2 linked regions of the Caenorhabditis elegans genome follow. The protein of the gene in region 2 purifies or fractionates together with the protein of the main gene of each other region. This does not show direct contact. Each region holds a gene or a part of one and is shown on either strand. Other genes may lie near its edges.

Evidence for each region.
Region 1: the proteins of hrg-11.2 (region 2) and nspg-13 fractionate together in Caenorhabditis elegans (co-fractionation; one large-scale study listed by BioGRID). This does not show direct contact.

Annotation. Positions count from the first base shown.
Region 1 is NC_003284.9:5,250,689-5,258,768, forward strand, and holds nspg-13 (DUF19 domain-containing protein), read left to right. Parts: upstream 1-4,505; coding exon 4,506-4,557; intron 4,558-4,618; coding exon 4,619-4,743; intron 4,744-4,970; coding exon 4,971-5,023; intron 5,024-5,072; coding exon 5,073-5,227; intron 5,228-5,662; coding exon 5,663-5,780; intron 5,781-5,828; coding exon 5,829-5,974; intron 5,975-6,030; coding exon 6,031-6,059; 3' UTR 6,060-6,167; downstream 6,168-8,080. Other genes in the region: Y34B4A.10 (aECM cysteine-cradle domain-containing protein), read left to right, coding at 1-514, 950-1,344, 1,408-1,528, 1,664-1,822, 1,874-1,942; nspg-14 (DUF19 domain-containing protein), read left to right, coding at 2,435-2,477, 3,112-3,210, 3,260-3,380, 3,636-3,698, 3,749-3,840, 3,892-4,009, 4,069-4,211, 4,263-4,279; nspg-12 (DUF19 domain-containing protein), read left to right, coding at 6,621-6,654, 6,705-6,821, 6,869-6,956, 7,012-7,101, 7,150-7,214, 7,263-7,380, 7,436-7,575, 7,618-7,625.
Region 2 is NC_003284.9:3,229,760-3,238,505, forward strand, and holds the start of hrg-11.2 (C-type LECtin), read right to left. Parts: upstream 5,650-8,746; 5' UTR 5,648-5,649; coding exon 5,468-5,647; intron 5,423-5,467; coding exon 5,311-5,422; intron 5,262-5,310; coding exon 4,639-5,261; intron 4,595-4,638; coding exon 4,534-4,594; intron 4,489-4,533; coding exon 4,318-4,488; intron 4,174-4,317; coding exon 4,102-4,173; intron 4,059-4,101; coding exon 3,867-4,058; intron 3,776-3,866; coding exon 3,658-3,775; intron 3,603-3,657; coding exon 3,482-3,602; intron 3,429-3,481; coding exon 3,285-3,428; intron 3,241-3,284; coding exon 432-3,240; intron 381-431; coding exon 192-380; intron 149-191; coding exon 31-148; intron 1-30. Other genes in the region: Protein irg-7, read right to left, coding at 6,152-6,185, 6,233-6,436, 6,480-6,796, 6,841-6,924, 6,971-7,116, 7,160-7,316, 7,378-7,721, 7,769-7,955 and 4 more.

The DNA.
Region 1 (8,080 bases), 2.0 Mb from region 2:
ATCAGAGGAGTCACTTATACCAACTACTCCAGCTGCACCAATACAAGTTGTTCCATCTTCTGAAACGGTGTCTGAAATTTCATCAGAGTTTGCTCCAGCTTCAAATGAGTCCCCATCAGCGCTCTCGTTCACAGAGTTCAATATTGAATCTATGCCAATAATCAAGGAGACTGATTCTCCATCATCTTTCGACGAAAAATCGAACATCGGACTAACTTCGTCATCTGTAGCTCCGACTTCGCCAGAAGTGCCTGTGACAACATCCGAATCGACTACTCCCGAACATGCAATCACTTCCGAAGCCCCTGAGCCAATTTCTGAAGTGTCAAAAGCAACTCCCCTAGAGCATCACTACGCAGAAGAGCGTGTCTATCCAACAATGGGCTCTGTTCAAGCTCCTATTGAATTTGTTGAAGTTTTGCCAAGCCAACAGACTGAAGTGGCATCTACCAGTATTGCCGAAACAGAAGAACCAACAACTACAGCTAAAACGCCCAAGAAACGCCGTCATAGAGTAGGGTTGATTTTTTTAATTTCAAATTGATAATTCCTGTTAAAAGGGCGGATGAGACCAACCTAGTGGGCTCGACGGCTTCGAACCTGATATTTTGATCATACAAAAGTGGGCGTTTTTATTTCAAAAAAGTTCAAGAAATTCTTCAATTTTCCAATTATTCCAATTATACTAATTTTAACTTCTTATAATTTCTTGAAAATTGGCCTACAAAAGTAGACTAAATTGAAGTTAAAGCTTGCCGACAAGGTATACTACTACATAGTCGCATGAAAATTATTTTTGATGATTTATTTCCAAGCATTGCAAATTGGTATTGTAGATCCCCTCGACCTTTCTTGAAGGTCTAAACTAACACCGTTCGAAATAAATGTTGTCAATTACAACAGAATTTATTTTTTATGCGAACTTAAAATTGAATTTGATATTTTCCAGCGAAAGCATCGAAAGCTGAAAAAAGTCACAAAAGTCACCGAGGCTCCAGCAGAAGTCACAGTACCCACGGAAATTGTTACTGAGCCAACAACTGAATCCGCAACAACTCCCACTACTACCACAACAATTTCCACCACCCCATTAGTCACAACTACACCACCAACAGCTCAATCTGCAATTGTAATTAAAACATTGCCGACTACAGTTGCTCCAAGCAAAGTGGGCGAGTCTTATCTCGGTGGATGGAATGAAGACGAAGCTGTAGTGGTCACAACATCAAAACCGTCTCTTGGATATGCAATCAGCCAATTCACACAGCTGCCTGAATCAATTGCTATCGACGACGACAAGTCAATTAAAGCGTACTATGAAAAATATTACGCTGAGTGGTATCAGTAAGTGTTTTTATAAAAAGATTTCAAAATGTTTAAGCAAACTATTTCCTTATTGCATTACAGAAAACACAATCAAGCTGCCGGCACCCCAGAGGCATCAGCCGCAACAGTTCCTCGAGAAATAAAAATAGAACTGGCTAAGCCAAACACAGCTTCTTTTGGATCAGCGACATTGCAACCCACTGTGAGTCATTTGCCTCGTCTTACCCAAATCATCTCTCTTTTTTTCTGTTTGAACACGACATCACTGTCAAACATGGGTTATCATCAATGCTATCGTTTTAGAAGCTATTAAAATCGAAGCCACATATTTTTATAGGGAATTTCTTCACCGTCCGCTGCAGCCGTAGAGCCGACAAAAGAACAACTGGACAAAGTTTGCGAATACGTGGGCAAAATATCCAAATCATTTGGAATCAAAGACCTTGTCGGATTCGCCAAGAACAATTGCCCTCTGGTGCAGAGCTTCCATCCAGCGGTATATCTCTCGAATTTATAGTCTTTTTGCATTCAAGTATTCTATTTTCAGTCCACCTGCGAGCAAATCCAGCATCTGATGAGTTACTGTGAAACAGGAATACTTGTAACCAACCAATGATCTCATACATCTTCCCAAACTGTGTATTTCTACTTTTGATGCCATGTTTTGATCTTTTTATTGCTAAATGTCACCAACTTCCCTGACAAATGTATTCTCTACCTTGTCCACAAATAATGAGATTCCATGACTTTTTTTCTAATAAATCTGGAACTGTAACAAGTAATTACCAGCCACGCCTTGTTTCCTGGCGTCATTTTAGGACTGAAAAGAGTTTTCGTCATTTTCAGAGCCGCTCCCTTTTTCATTTTCCATCAAAACTGAAAAAAAAGTGATAATGCAATTTGAAAAAGGGTATGACTATCATAATAAACGAAACGATAAACGTGCACATACACGCGTTAAGGAGAAAAAGAGGTGGGGAAGAGAAGGGGATGGTTGGCAAACCCATAAAGCGAGCCGGCCCTCGAAAGGTGGAGATTCAGACAGAAGTGCCAGCGGCAAAGTGATAACGGGAGACACGACTTTGCACTACGCCTGCTTCCCCGCGAAATGTGCTCTACCAATTATTGCCTGGCTGTTTTTGTACTAGTTGGTAAGATTCTTGACAGATTCTCTGTATCATGGAGCGCTTTTAATCGAAATTCTAGTAAAAACTAGGCACTATTTATTTGATTACCGATTTTTCAAAAATTCATAGTTCAAATGTCAATTGCTCACAACGATTTATCTAGGCACTCTCTTTTTCAAAATTTCGTTCAATTCCTGATTCTCGCATTCTCATTGCCTTTACCCCATCATTTACAAGTATTCAAAACTAAACAAGACCGTTCCACAGTTATTAGATTGGCAGAATTAAGTCTTGCACTAACCGGATTGCTTTTGCTTACTTATCATCAGTTTTGATAACGAAAAATTCCACGTGTTGCCCGGTAACGCCTAAATACTATTATGACTAAGTAACTTTTGCAAGATCGGGAACGTTCCCAAAATGAAATCTGCACAAGTATTAGACTACTGTAATTTCCTAAATCTAATGTGATTGTTGGTATTAGTTGCGTCACAACTAGCGGCGGGCATTTTCTTATCAAAAAGAAAATGTACGGTGGCACTGGATACGACTTTTAGAAACCAAACATTCCAGGCTCGATTATTTTTCAACCTATTAGAAGTTCTGGGAAAAAACTGAGAGACATGACCTTAAAAAATAAACCAATGAAAAGTTTCAGGCGTTGTGGCGGCACAAAACCCAAGTTTAACGGCATGCGATATCAATAACCAGCTAAATGTTTGTCAGAGTCAGTTCAATCAACTTTTGGGATTTGATGGTAATGAAACTGAAAAATAGAATTAAGCACAAAAGTTTTGGTGTTTCAGCTTCTCTCGGTGCTGCCAAATATCAAGACTTGAGAAGTGCCATTGAGCAGTCGTATGCCAATAACCAAGCATACGGGCTTCTTACAACTTGCGATGCCTTCAAGCAGTACAAGCAGTGCTAGTAAGTGACATAGTTTGCAATGTTGTGAGATTCACAATGTGCGACGGGAATATCTCAGTCGGTAGTGTGGTGATCGCAAGCAATCATGAGACCACTAGTTCAAGTCCTGCCTTTCCCTAGGATCACCCAACCTAGCTTGGGAATTAGAGGAATCCACTAATGGCTCGTGGCTTGAAACTAAAGCCTAGTGGGAGTTTAAAAACGGAACACCCTTTGATCCTTTAATTTTTACATCTCAAATCAACTGATTTATAGCCAACCAAAAGAACAGTTCTACGCATGTGCTCAGAACCCATACGGTCTTCTAACTGGAACCAAGTAAGTTCTCAATTCAATATATACTGTAACAGTTTTTGTCTGTTCTTCAGCAACAACGGCGCCCCACTCACACAGGATCAGGCTAATGGATACGTAAAAATCTGGAACCAACTTGATTTTGTCTGTGGTGCTGGATTCTCGAGTAAGATTAGCAATTATACTGTAATACTGAATACTAGAATTGAATTTTCAGTCTTTGCCAACTCTGAAGTTTGCGGCTCTTCTGTCTTTAACAACCAGACAGCTGCAATGAGACAGTGCGACAATGACTTCAACGTGAAGTCCATGGCTGACCCAGCTCAAGCTTGCGCGTAAGTTTTCAAGTTTTGTTTCCAATCAAAAAGAATAATGAATAATCTTAACTTTCTAGATACGTTGAGATCGCAGCCAACTGCTACTTCCAACTGTTCTGGAACGCTTGTAAGAAGCCAGAGATGGCCTACTGGGGTTGCAACTACGAGCGTACCGGTACCAATCTTCTCTTCCCACAGTGCTCTCAGATTTTCTGCACATGTAGGTTTTCAGAATGGGATGGGGTTTAAATAATGTTTATTTTATTTTCAGTCCACGAACGCGTCTGATCGTCTTTTGTTTAATCATCTCCATTTTTTGTTTTGGTCAAAATGTTTTATTTGAATTCACATTTTTGGGAATAAATCTATGTAATTTAATTCATAATTTTTTAATTTCAAAAATTTGTTTTCGTTTGAAATGCTTCAATGCATTGAATACTTCTGACTTTGTGTGTGTGTGTGTTTTTTTTTGCAAAATTAAAAATACATATTTGTGCTCACATTATGCTTTCAGATGTGGCAAGACCGGTGTTTGCCATTTCTTGCGTTGATTCTTGGATTGTCAGGTAAGTAAATTGAAATTAAAACTTGTGAAATATTTGTTTTAATCTTATTTTTTTATTCCAGGAGTCCAATCAGCCGGTCTAAACTGTGACTCGACGGTTTATTTTGAGTGCCAAACTGCTCTCAATGCGGTTTTGAGCATCAGCGACCCACAGCCATGGTTTGACCCCGAAAACTTCCGCAAGGAGGCAAGTTTTTAATACAATAGTTTCCACGCTTGCCATTCCATGAAATGATAACTGAATAAGGTGATATGACGAAGGGTGTGCATAGTGAAATGTGAAATGTGAGGTTTAGAACGTGTCGATGATAACTTTTAAGTCAATGGGATTAATTATGTCATCATGATTGTATTATAATCTGATTTTTTGATTATCAGAAAAAAGAGCAAAACACAATTATTGATTAAATTTAGGTGGAGACAAACTACCAGGCTCAAGGACCCAGTGGAATGCGTAAAGTTTGCAAGTCAGTACTTCACTAGATACTCTCTCTCGAATCCTGAATATAATTCCAGAGCTTTCCGCGAGTTTAAAGTTTGCATGGGCTCTGAATACGCGAACTGCATGTCTGCGGTCCATTTTGTTTCTGTATCGGCCACTCCATTCAACGCTTATCAATTTGTTGGACTGTTCAACCAAATGCACTTTGTCTGTGGAGCTGGATTGCAAAGTATGAATTTTTATTGTCATTTCCCGACGCGATGTCGGAATTGAATTTTGTTGAGTACACAATTACACATCTTTTTGGCATGGTATGAAGTTTCTAGAATAGGTGGAAAACACGGGGAGTGTCGAAATCAAACTTTCTGGGGCTTGCTGCTGTGGTAATTTATACACATTATGAGACTCTTAGAGGAATTTCTGAGTTATGATTAGAATAGGCATGAATACTAGCACATATTAGGTTTAAAAAAAACATTCAAGAGACGCAGGAAAATATGATATACATGGGAAATAGGTCCATCGCTGACCACAACCGAAGTCGGCTGCGCATTTACTATAAATTCCTAATTTGCTCAGAGATCAGAAATCGATTAACACAAAAATAGCGCCTTATACAGACTAATGGATTCCAACCGTAACGAGGTAACTTTCTTCATTTCAGCATACCTCCTTAATGAGGGCTGTATGTCAACTACTTGGAGAAGCCAAAGTGATGTCCTGAGACAATGCCGACTAGATTATGAGGTGAACAGTGACGTTGACGCAAATCAGGCTTGCACGTAAGAAGACCATCGGGTATTATTAAAAAACGCCAACCAAACTTACAGACAAGCCAATAAGTACTTGATTTGCTTCGAAACTCAGTTCAAAAACAACTGTGGTGAAAAATCAAACGATGCCATGTTCTGGGCTTGTGAATACTCAAGAGTCAATGTTTTTACTCGATTCCCTCAATGTGCAGCTAGATGTGTTTGTAAGTGAAACTTGAAAATTGTGAAATCTAGTAAAATTGATTTTGTTTTTTTGCAGTGCCATATAGCGGAGGAATCATCGGATGAGTCGAATAAAACGAAATGATGTCAGATACAAACAAATTATTAACTTTTTGTCATTCAATCTTAACTATGTATTATCATTTGTGATAAGAATAAATTTTTATTACTGAGAAAATGCCATCGGTATAGTATATGACAATCTATTGGTGTGGCGATGGGGAACTTCATGAAAAGTTTTGAAAAAAGGGTTTTGAAATAAATATTGCCAATAGCTTTTTTGGGACGTTTTCAACATTTGGTATATTAAACATTTTGGTAGGACAACAGATTATAAGCAAATTATTATTGAAAAAAAACTATTTTTTGACTGTGTATCTTTTATAAATTGTTTTACTTATTATGCAATATTTGAAATAAAAAATTAGTTTTTTTTTCATTCGTTTTAAAATTTCACCGTCAAATTCAAATACAAGGTTCCGAAAATACTTTTTCCGCTTAGCCCATTTAATGCAATAATCAATGTCTTTTAAGCGTACAGGATTATTGATAATCACTTCAACTGATAAGGACTGCAATTCTTAATCCCATAAATGAAACATTTCCCTAGCTTTTCCGTTCCACGACATGCTGTTGAATGTATTGATTGCGGTGTTGGCAAGTAAGTTCAAAATGTACCCCCAGATTGATTGACCTTTTAAGCATGTTCAGTAGCACCAACAGCTTTTTGTGCATGCGCTCCTTCAACTACAGGTACATGCACTCCAGATTTACTTCAGTGTTGCGGGCTACAGCTCAAATCTGATCTAGGCTTGTCAAACTGTTATGGTAAAGCTTTTATAACAATTTAATTGAATGAGCTATCAATTTTTGAGGAATTCTTGCTTTCGAGCCTGAATGTCACCGTCAAGAAATTGAAAACATGTACATCAACGGTATAAGTGGTTTGTTCAAAGTTTGCGAGTTCGTTTTTTCATACTTACATTGTCTTTTGCCCATCGAAAAAAATTGATTTCAGCGCTTTTAACAAGTACTATGAATGTCTTGGACCAGCACGACGTGACTGCACCAGCATTAGTTATCACGTGAAAGCAGGTCTTCGACTTGGGTAAGTTGGCACAATTCATTATTTCTGTTAATCTTACCAAGTTTTCAGAGATGCCGTGCAAGTGGTGTCAATGTACAAACAATTCGGATTTGCGTGCGGAGCTGGATTTGAAGGTAGGTTTTCAATAATTTTTGAGCAACAAAAAATTTTAAATGTTTAAGGATTCTCCAACAACGATGTTTGTATGTCGAACATTTTTTCCACAAAACAAACTCAGATCAGCGATTGCCGTGCCACATTTGCCAAGAATTTGTTGGCAGATTATAAGAACCACTGCATGTAATGAAATATGATCAAAAATTTACAACATAATTAATTTTTAAAAAATCTGCAGGTACTTCGAGCAATATACCGGATGTTTCAATGCATTGTTCGATCACAGTTCCTGTAACTCTGAGAGCTCTTGGTGGGGATGTGAATATGCACGACAAGCTGGTCGAGCTGTTCTGCACGATTGCAGTCTTCAATGCTCAAGTAAGTCCAAAACAGATTAATGAGCAATTTTTATTTTTTCAGCATTCTGAACGCCGGGAAGAAATGCAAATGTTTTATCAATTTTGTGGTATTTCGATTTTGAAATAAAATATTTCGTATGTTTCAACAAAAAAGCTAAATCTAAAAGAGATACCATCAAGTTGAAATAATTTCCCATCCAAAAAAAATTAATAAAACTTTTATTACAAAACAGTACAATACGAAATGTTATTGAATTTCGTAGAACCAGATCAAATTACATATTGCGCCACGTTGTTCTAACATTATTCGTAAAAAAATAGTGTGAAAATGTAAAAACTCATTTAATTTATCCGATAATTACAATCATTTTAGCTGAAAGTGCTTCAAAAATGGTTGGAAATTGCCAAATGATGAATCGAATTTTCCAGCTTTATATTTCCACAATTGATATCTTTCAGGCAATTTTTTTAGCACGTTTATTAATGTTTCAGCTAACGTCGATGTTATTTTCAAGTAAATCAAA
Region 2 (8,746 bases):
GGTTTGAACATTCAGTCATTATGCTTTTACCCTAAATATGGCATGCTGCAAGCTCCGTCAGTTGAGATTGCGGTTGATTGAGCTGTCAAGTCGGTAATCAAAGCATCGATAGTGGTGTAGTTGTACTTCTCGAATGTTCTTCCAGTGGCTGAATTATCTCTCAATTTTAAAGACTAACGCAATTATCTCACTATCAAATGTGACAAGTCCGAAGTACGAGAACCAGAATGGAGCAAAGTTGGTGGCAGATGTGACAATGTTCTTAAGATTGGCAATGAGCTGGTTGACAGTGTCAGAGTTTTGTCTAGTTGTTTCAACAACAAACAACAATGTCTTAGTGTCATCGGTGAAAATTTGTGGAACCTTTGGTTGGCAAACCTCTGAAATAATAATTTTTTGTTTGATTAGAAAGACACTAAGAAAATAGTTACCAAATTGACAATTTAATCCGGCATATCCATCTGGGCATGTGCAAGTGGCTTCATCAGAGTTTTTAGTTCCACCGTTCACACAAATTGGGACGGTACAACGAGATCCAGTCCAGTAGTCAGTACAGATACATTGTCCATTTTGTCTGATACCTCCATTTCCGCAAACGATTGTAGCTGGGGAGCAGTGTCCGAATGTTAAACGTTGGAAGGTGTTTCCGAACTCATCCTCTCCAACATGAAGCACACCGAATTCATTGTTTTGGTTATCACTGTTTGGACATGGGAAATCTTGTGATACCCAGCCATATTGACATCCAAATCTTGCTTGGTATTTCAAGCCATTGTAGAAGGTTCCGTTGTAGAAGTCCCAAAGAATAGCGTCAGTCATAATTGGTACACGATTCTCGTTGTCAACGGAGTGAACATAAGTGATAAGTCTGTTTGAAGAAAAGTCTTGAATTGGGTCAATCTGTGGGTTGTCATCTCCAATTTTCGTAGCGAATCCAGAAACAATTTGAAGGCTCGATTGAACGCGAACACTCAGAGAGCAGTATGGTGGGTTAGAATTGGTTGGATTTGTTTTAATTTTGACGTACCAATCACCAGCTGGAAGATCAGCATCTCCAATAGTATTCGGTTTATGGTCAGAATCATATCTATGTTTCTGACAAATAAAAGGTCTTGGGGTAGCGCAAGTATCGGTAGTCCAGACTTTGCTCTTATCTCCAGATCTACCATCAAAATAGACACATTGACGAGTTGGATCGTTACTTGGCTCGCCATTTGCCCAGTAAGTGATTGGTTGATTGAGAAGATCCGGGTTGATTCCCTGTCCACGATCCCAATAGAACTGTCCATCACTGTTTTTGAAGAGTCCAATCCAGAATTGAGTATTTGCAGCAATTGAAGAGTAGAAGTTATTTTTATCATCTCCGAGATCATCAGCGAGATATCCACCAGCAGAAGCACAGAAGTTTCTAGCTTGTGGCATTGAGAGAATATCATCATTCACTGTGAGGAATTTGACGCAATATTGACCGAACGATTCCCAGCCATTGTCGCAAGCCTGTCTGATTTCATACACACTTTGTCCAGTGTAATCATCATAGAAAAGTTCCAGGGCTTCCGCAAGAACTCCGTTTCCATTATATACTTGAATTGTGGTTCCGTAACCGAAAACGGTCAATTGGATTGTTTGAGTGTAAGCATCAACTGGGAAGTAAGTGGTCAAGCCATCTTCATGTCTACAGTCATTGTTGCCATTAATCGTCACTTGTCCATTAGAGAACTGAATTGGGATGAGCCGAATAGCGTTGGAAATTTCAAGTGCTTGCAAAATGTATGTTTGTCCAGTAGAACTGGTGACCATTCCAAAGAGAACATAGTAGTTAACTTGAGTGGCATTGCACACAAATCCTGCCGGCAATAGCGTTGGCTTTGCAGTCAAAAATCCGTACAAGCTAATATCCATGGCACGTGACATATCATAGAACAAGCCGAGAGAGCGCTGATCGAGCTCATATTCTGGAGTTGTTTGGAAAATTTCGATGAAAGATCCTGGAACTAAGTCTCTGGCAAAGATGGCATGATTCAAGGCATCCCAAAGTTTGACGCTACAACCATTATCTGATGGAACATTGGTTGCAAGGTTGTGCAATGCGGCAATGATAGCCGTGAGATTATTTGAAGGTGACTGAGCAATTGGTCCACCCCATGTTGAGTTGAATCCAACAAGTACAAAGTTTCTGATCCATCCGCGATCTTGCATTTGAACGTCGCGGAGAATTTCTTGGAAGTTATTGTCAAGCATGACAATTGAAGCAAGAGATTGCTGAGTAATTTCGACAGCGAACACCATGTCAACTCCGTAACGGATGAATTCAGGATTTGGTCCAGTTTCAATACATCTTGGCACCTCACAGCTTTCACCTGCGTATCCAGGCGGGCATACACACTGTCCTCCACTAACAGTTCCTCCGTTGTAGCAAACAATGTTCTGGCAGTACGTTCCAGTAAATTGTGGAGTACAGAAGCATGTCGTGTTGGTTGGATTCATAACTCCTCCGTTTTGGCATTGATGTTGTGGTGGTGGTGTTGGATGAACAGCCGAACAGAGCATTGTTCCAGCACGTTGGAGAGCCATATCATTGTTATCACGAGCGAAGAAGTTGAAGTAAAGAACTTCATCGGGGACATTACAGATGAATGGTGGGAAGTAGAAGTGGAATTCACAAGCATCTCTGTACATTCCACTTGATCCGTAAACCTCTGTTTGAACTCCGTCGCGGATAGCATAAATCTGAAGATTGGCGTGCACGCGGTCCATAGAAATGAATTCGGGGTAGTTGGAAACATGGAAAACAGGAGAAGCATCAAAACCAGCAACTGGTTGGCGGAGAACTCCGGCTGCAGAAGTGAGGGTAGTTGCGAAAGACCAGAAAATGTCATAGTCTGGATTGTATTGGCTCATTCCACCAAGGTTATACTTCTTCTGGTATACTTTGAAGGTACACGCAGAGTTTGGTGAGTCGGAAACCAAATTGAAGAACCATTGTCCAGCGAAGATTTGGTTGGAGGTCCAAATGTAGTTAACACCATCATTGAATGCAACAAAGAAGTCAGGGTGTGCTCCGGTTGGGGTTGTGACTTGAAGTTTCAAGTTAGATCCTGTAGCAACAACGACAACTTGATCAGCAGTCACGTCAACTGCAACCGATTTGTAGATGTTTTGATTAGCACAGTGAGAGTAATCTCCAGATAGAGCAAGTTGAGAGCGGAACAACGTGTTGTACATATGAACGTAGAAGAACTTAAAATATAATGCATTAATATTAAAGAATTAAAGAAACATACGTTGGAGATAGTGGTTCTGTTGTTAAAGTAGAACGTGTTTCCGCTGGACATCGCAGCCATATCGACCATATCTCTGTACCCAGCACTATCGGGTGAAGTATTGCAGCCACTTCCAATTGCTGGTTGCACGTAAATGAAGTAGACCTGAAACATTCTGGTATTTTCGAATAACTTTAAATTTAATAAATTTTCCATACTGGTGCTCTCCAATAAGATTCCAAGTGTACAATTGTTTGCTTCTCAGTGCTATCATTTGGATTGGCATCAGTGATTACATAGATTGGTGATTTGTTAGTTGGATAAAGAGAAAGAGCAGATCTGTAAAACAACCATGAAGATTCTGTAAAACATTGAAAAACTAGTCGATACTTACGCAACAGCAGAGAAAACAACATCATCACATCCACCGTCGGATGGGGCAGAGTTAATCGCTTTAAGTAGATCAACCATAGCGGCATCCCATGAGTCATATCTCTGGTTTACCAAAAGCTCTAAAAATTAAAATATAATGCATTACCGTTTCCTGATAAGAAGGTAGGCTTATGGGAGCCACCCCGGTAAATTAGTTGCAAATCAACTCACTGGCGTTATCAAAGAGCACAACGATGAAATTAGTGAGATAGCCAGGCTCGGCAGATAGTTCATCGACAATTCTTGAAACTGAATTTGTGGCCTGTTGAATAACATCTGACAATTGGCTTCTAGAACGAATGACCAGAGTAACAGTCGGGTTTTCAGCATTGAAATCAATTCCGGATGCACCAGGGCAGACAACTGTAATGCATTTGTGATCAGTTTATTTTCCGAGGCGACTTACTATTTTGACAGTGGAAACCGGTGAATCCTTCTGGACATTCACAATGTTCGCTTGTGGGAGTTGGAAGGAATCCTGAAAAATAAAATATTTGATGACCAATTTAGGCTGGCTCAAAAAAGTGTCCTTTTTAGAAGGTTGTCTTTGTGTTATCAACCATGTAGCACATCAATGGCAACATAGCGTTTTCTATTTAACAGCTCTAGTTACAGTATTCACCTCCATTAGCACACAACATCTGAGAACAGTCACGTCCGGTGTATAGTCCAAAACAGTAACAGTATGGTGAACCACTGGAATCCTTCAAAACTTGACCTCCGTTCTGGCAGGTTGTCAATGGAGCAGCGGTTGTTGTTGGAGCAGGGACAGTGGTGGTAGACACTGGTGGCACTAAATTACTCAGGTTGATTATTGTTGTCAACTACGTTCACTTACAAATACATTGGTAGGGCAGAATACGACGGAAAACGTATCCGTTATCGCTCATTCCTTCAACCTGAACTTTTATGATTGCAATTTATATCAATTCATTGCACTTACCTGTAATAAATTGTGCCCAATATCGTTATTTCCAATTTTTCTGCAAGTATACCTCTCCAAAATATATGGATAAGTACAATTGAAGCGAGTTGCCATAGGAATGTATCTTGAGATATGGTTCTCGGCGCCAGTGAATCCAATCGCCTGAATTTGACCGGGAAAGTGTAGTCCTTGTGCATGAAGAACAACAGCTGATTCAGTGTCAAAATAGGCAAACTTGAGGGTTGGATAGTCGCTGCGCTCTGGTTGATCGCCTGATGTAAAACCTCCAGTAACTTGAATATTGGTATGAGCGGTCATCATCATAGTACAAAATTCATCTCCAGAATCAGCTCTTGGTCCGAGAAGATACTGGCCTGGCGCTAAAGTCTCATATGTTGCCACATAGGAAGTTACGGTTTTTCTGTCAGTGTCAGGGAAGATCAGATCTCCACTCTCAGATTGGAGGTAGAAAGTTGGATTCAATGGTGACTCAGTTTCGACCTCAATTTTGATATTCCGCATGGTCTCATCAACAACAACGACGTATGTTTGACTGCAGTTTGCAAGATTTGTTGCATCAATAGAGATATCGTCAGAATCCTTGTTATCAGGAATGTAAGGATTGCGAGCAGAGCACAATGCTAAGAAATTGCATTTTTAGTTTAAAAACACATATGTGATCCGACTTACGATATTGACAGGTGGCTCCTGTGTATCCTGGCTTGTTACATCCTCTGGTGGCCATTCCAGCAAAAACATGAGGCTCGGCGATAGATCTTTTGGAGATATGATGAGTATCAACCTGAAACCATATATGGAACATAGTTAAACGAAATCTAGAACTTACAAAGAGATCGGACTGCTCATCGAATTGAATCTTCTGTTCACTGACTGGGTGGAAGAGTTGATTACTGTTGGCCGGGTTCCATGACTTTAAGACTTTGCGGATTCTCTCTTTGTGACTGAGCTCAGGCTCAGCGCCCAGGCAGATCACGGCTAACGCCGCAATCAAAACCCAGCTTCTCATTACTGAAATTTCACATTAATTTAATTGCTCTTAAACTCCAAAAAAACTAAATATCGTAAAAGGTATTGAGTTCTGAAAATGAATGTGAAAAGGCAGGAGCAGCCTGGCAAATCTAATGAAATTATCATGAAATAATGATTTAAACCCTTTTTAATCGCAAAAGGAGAGTGTGTCCGGCACGTCATATCACCGTGGCAAACTCTTATCTTTGCCATCTCAAACAGTATTAAAATTTATTCCACGCCCTTTGCATTCTAATTGAGTAGTAGCAGAATAATGTCACAGAATACGATTTTGTATCATCAAATTATTATCAAGCACTTTCTGATGATTTCGACTTGAAGTTCAACCACTAGTAAAGTTTATTGAATTGCCATCACATTTCACTTTTGTATTATATTTTTTCTCTCGTAATTTTGATTTTTCGGTCCAACACATAAATTGTTAAATAATGATAAGTTTATTAAAATTCAAATTATTTCAGTGATTTCCGGGTCGACTGCCTTAGTTGTTGATACAGTAGACACCTCCATTGGCGCTGAAAATAAGAACATTTCACTTAATGAACACACTTATATATCTTACTTGGCATTGAGGATAAGTTGCTGAATGGTCTTAATTTGGTTATTCAAACTAGCAAAATCTGGAGCTGTAAACGAGCAAGCACTTCCTCCGGAAATAGTTTGCAACTTGTTGTTATCAGTCGCGCCACCATAACCAATAGTGATGATTCCGTATTGCTTCTGCGCGAGAATTGTCTGAGCTGCCGGAGTTGGATCGGTGTCGAAGCTAAAAAATATTAATTTTATCTGGCAATCTTTTGAACACTTACGCAGTAGTTGTAGTAAGGTAGATCAACACATGGTTGCTAATGCCACTACGGTAACCATTGTTCGCCGCCATGAAATCGGGAGAAGACACAATTTGAAGAGTGTAGTTAAGAATTTGCCCGGCGTCTTCAAAGTCAGTGTAGCCACCGCTGAGTTGGGCCAAGTTAGAGTTCAACATTGCTTGAGAGGAGAGGGAGTTCAGATTGGCAGCAGGAGGAATTGGGTTTGTGATATCACCTCCGACGACAATTAATCCAACACGAGCTCCACTCTGGCCAACATTGAACGAAACCATGAATGTTTGAACAAATTTGGTGAGCTGAAATTCATATGATGGAAACATAAAGGGCATATAATGTATACCGAGTCAAAGCTGGATTGTGCACTTTGTGATCCATCGATCATAAATACAACATCAAACTGAGCGGATGTGTATGGATTTTGGGTCTGTAAGTTCAGAATTTCTAAATCACCAGTAATACTTGAAATTTACCGTGGCGACTGGTCCCTGAGTTGGTTGAGTTCCTGGGACTTGAGTTTGCTGAGTTACTGGACCTTGAGTCAGCGCGGTTTGTTGAGTTGGCATGGTGATTGGGCCAATTGTTCCTGTTGCTGGCTGGTTGGTTGTTGGGCTACGTCCTGAAAAATTTCTTGCACAATTAAACAAGTAAGCGTATATTACCATTGCAGATGACAATTTCTTGTCTTCTGAACTTTTGGTTTGCTTCATCAACTCCATGAACATAGACGGCAATCATGTCGCCGTTGCAAGTGAACAAATCAGAGTAGTACTCGTAAGAGCAGCCTGCTCGAACGTAGAGCTCTGATCGGAGAATGTTCTGAAATTTTATCACTTCTGAGTTTATTCTCTTGTGAAGGGACAATTTTAATGTTGCTTACTGTGATTGAGTTAGCTCCAATATCGAAGATTTCTACATACTGCAATTGTCCTCTGTGGAATGGATTGCCAGCAAGATGGAAAACAGCGACATTGTCAAAACCAGCTGTTGGTTGTACGAAACGTCCATCCTGATGTGAACCAAGTGGATCAGGCTTTCCTCCGATTGGGTTTGGCATCGAGAACTTTGTGTAGACCTTCGCTCCACCAGTTGAATAGACATGTGCAAGGCACAATCCTGGAGGCTGAACAAGTTGGAGTGTCCAGATTCCTCCAAGTCTGTCTACTTCAATTGCGTAGATCTTTTGATCATTCACGTTGTAAACTGGGGTAGCACTGTGAGCCGCTGAAACAAGTCGAGGTGTTGATAATATTTAAAAAAAAACGACTAACCTCCAAGAGGATCCTTGACAGAAAGTGAACCAAACTCGGCAGAAGTGGTGACGTAGATAAATGTTGTGTTGATATCAACTGGCACAAACCAAGGAAGAGATCCATCGGAACAGGTGTAGTTCGTGATGCCGGTAGGATCTTGAAGAACTGAAGCTCCGTACAGAGTTGGAAGATAAGAATTGAAAAGCTGTAAAATTGATATATTGTGCTAACTAGTTGATAAACAATGCTACACTCACGTTGACAATGTTTGCAGGATCAGTGAACAAGATGTTTCCGCTTGATCCGTATCCAAGCCATGTCATGTCTCTGACATTATTGACACCATCGAATGTTGCACAGTTTGCGGTCTTGGAGACGACATAGTGCAACTGAAAATTCGAACATGTATGATTCATCGAGTTAGCTGTTACTTACGTGTGCTTGAGTGTTAAACAAAACTTCCATAGTTTCAACATAGTTTCCGAGGTCACTTGGTCCAGCAGGAGTGACCAAGAAAATTTCACTATTCGGCATAGCAATAACATCATCATGTTCCAGAAGATGCGCAAGAACTCTGAACGTTAAAACCATACAAAAAATTAGTGAAAAACTAGATTACCCGAGATATGGCATACTGCAAACTCCATCAGTAGAAATGGCGTTAGATTGTGTGGTGAGATCGGTGATAAGATCATCGATGGAAGTGTAGTCGAATTTTTCAAATGTTCTTCCAGTGGCTGAAAATTACAACTGATATGTATCAGAGGACAAGAATAATATGCTTACTATCAAAAGTAACAAGTCCGAAATTGGTGAACCAAAGTGGCATATTATTCGTTACCGCTGAAACAATGTTCTTCAGATTGGCAATGAGCTGATTGACAGTGTCAGAGTTTTGCCTTGTTGTTTCCACGACCATGAGCAATGATTTTCTATCATTACTGAACAATTGTGGGACGTTGGGTTGACAAACCTCTGAAATATTATTATTTCATT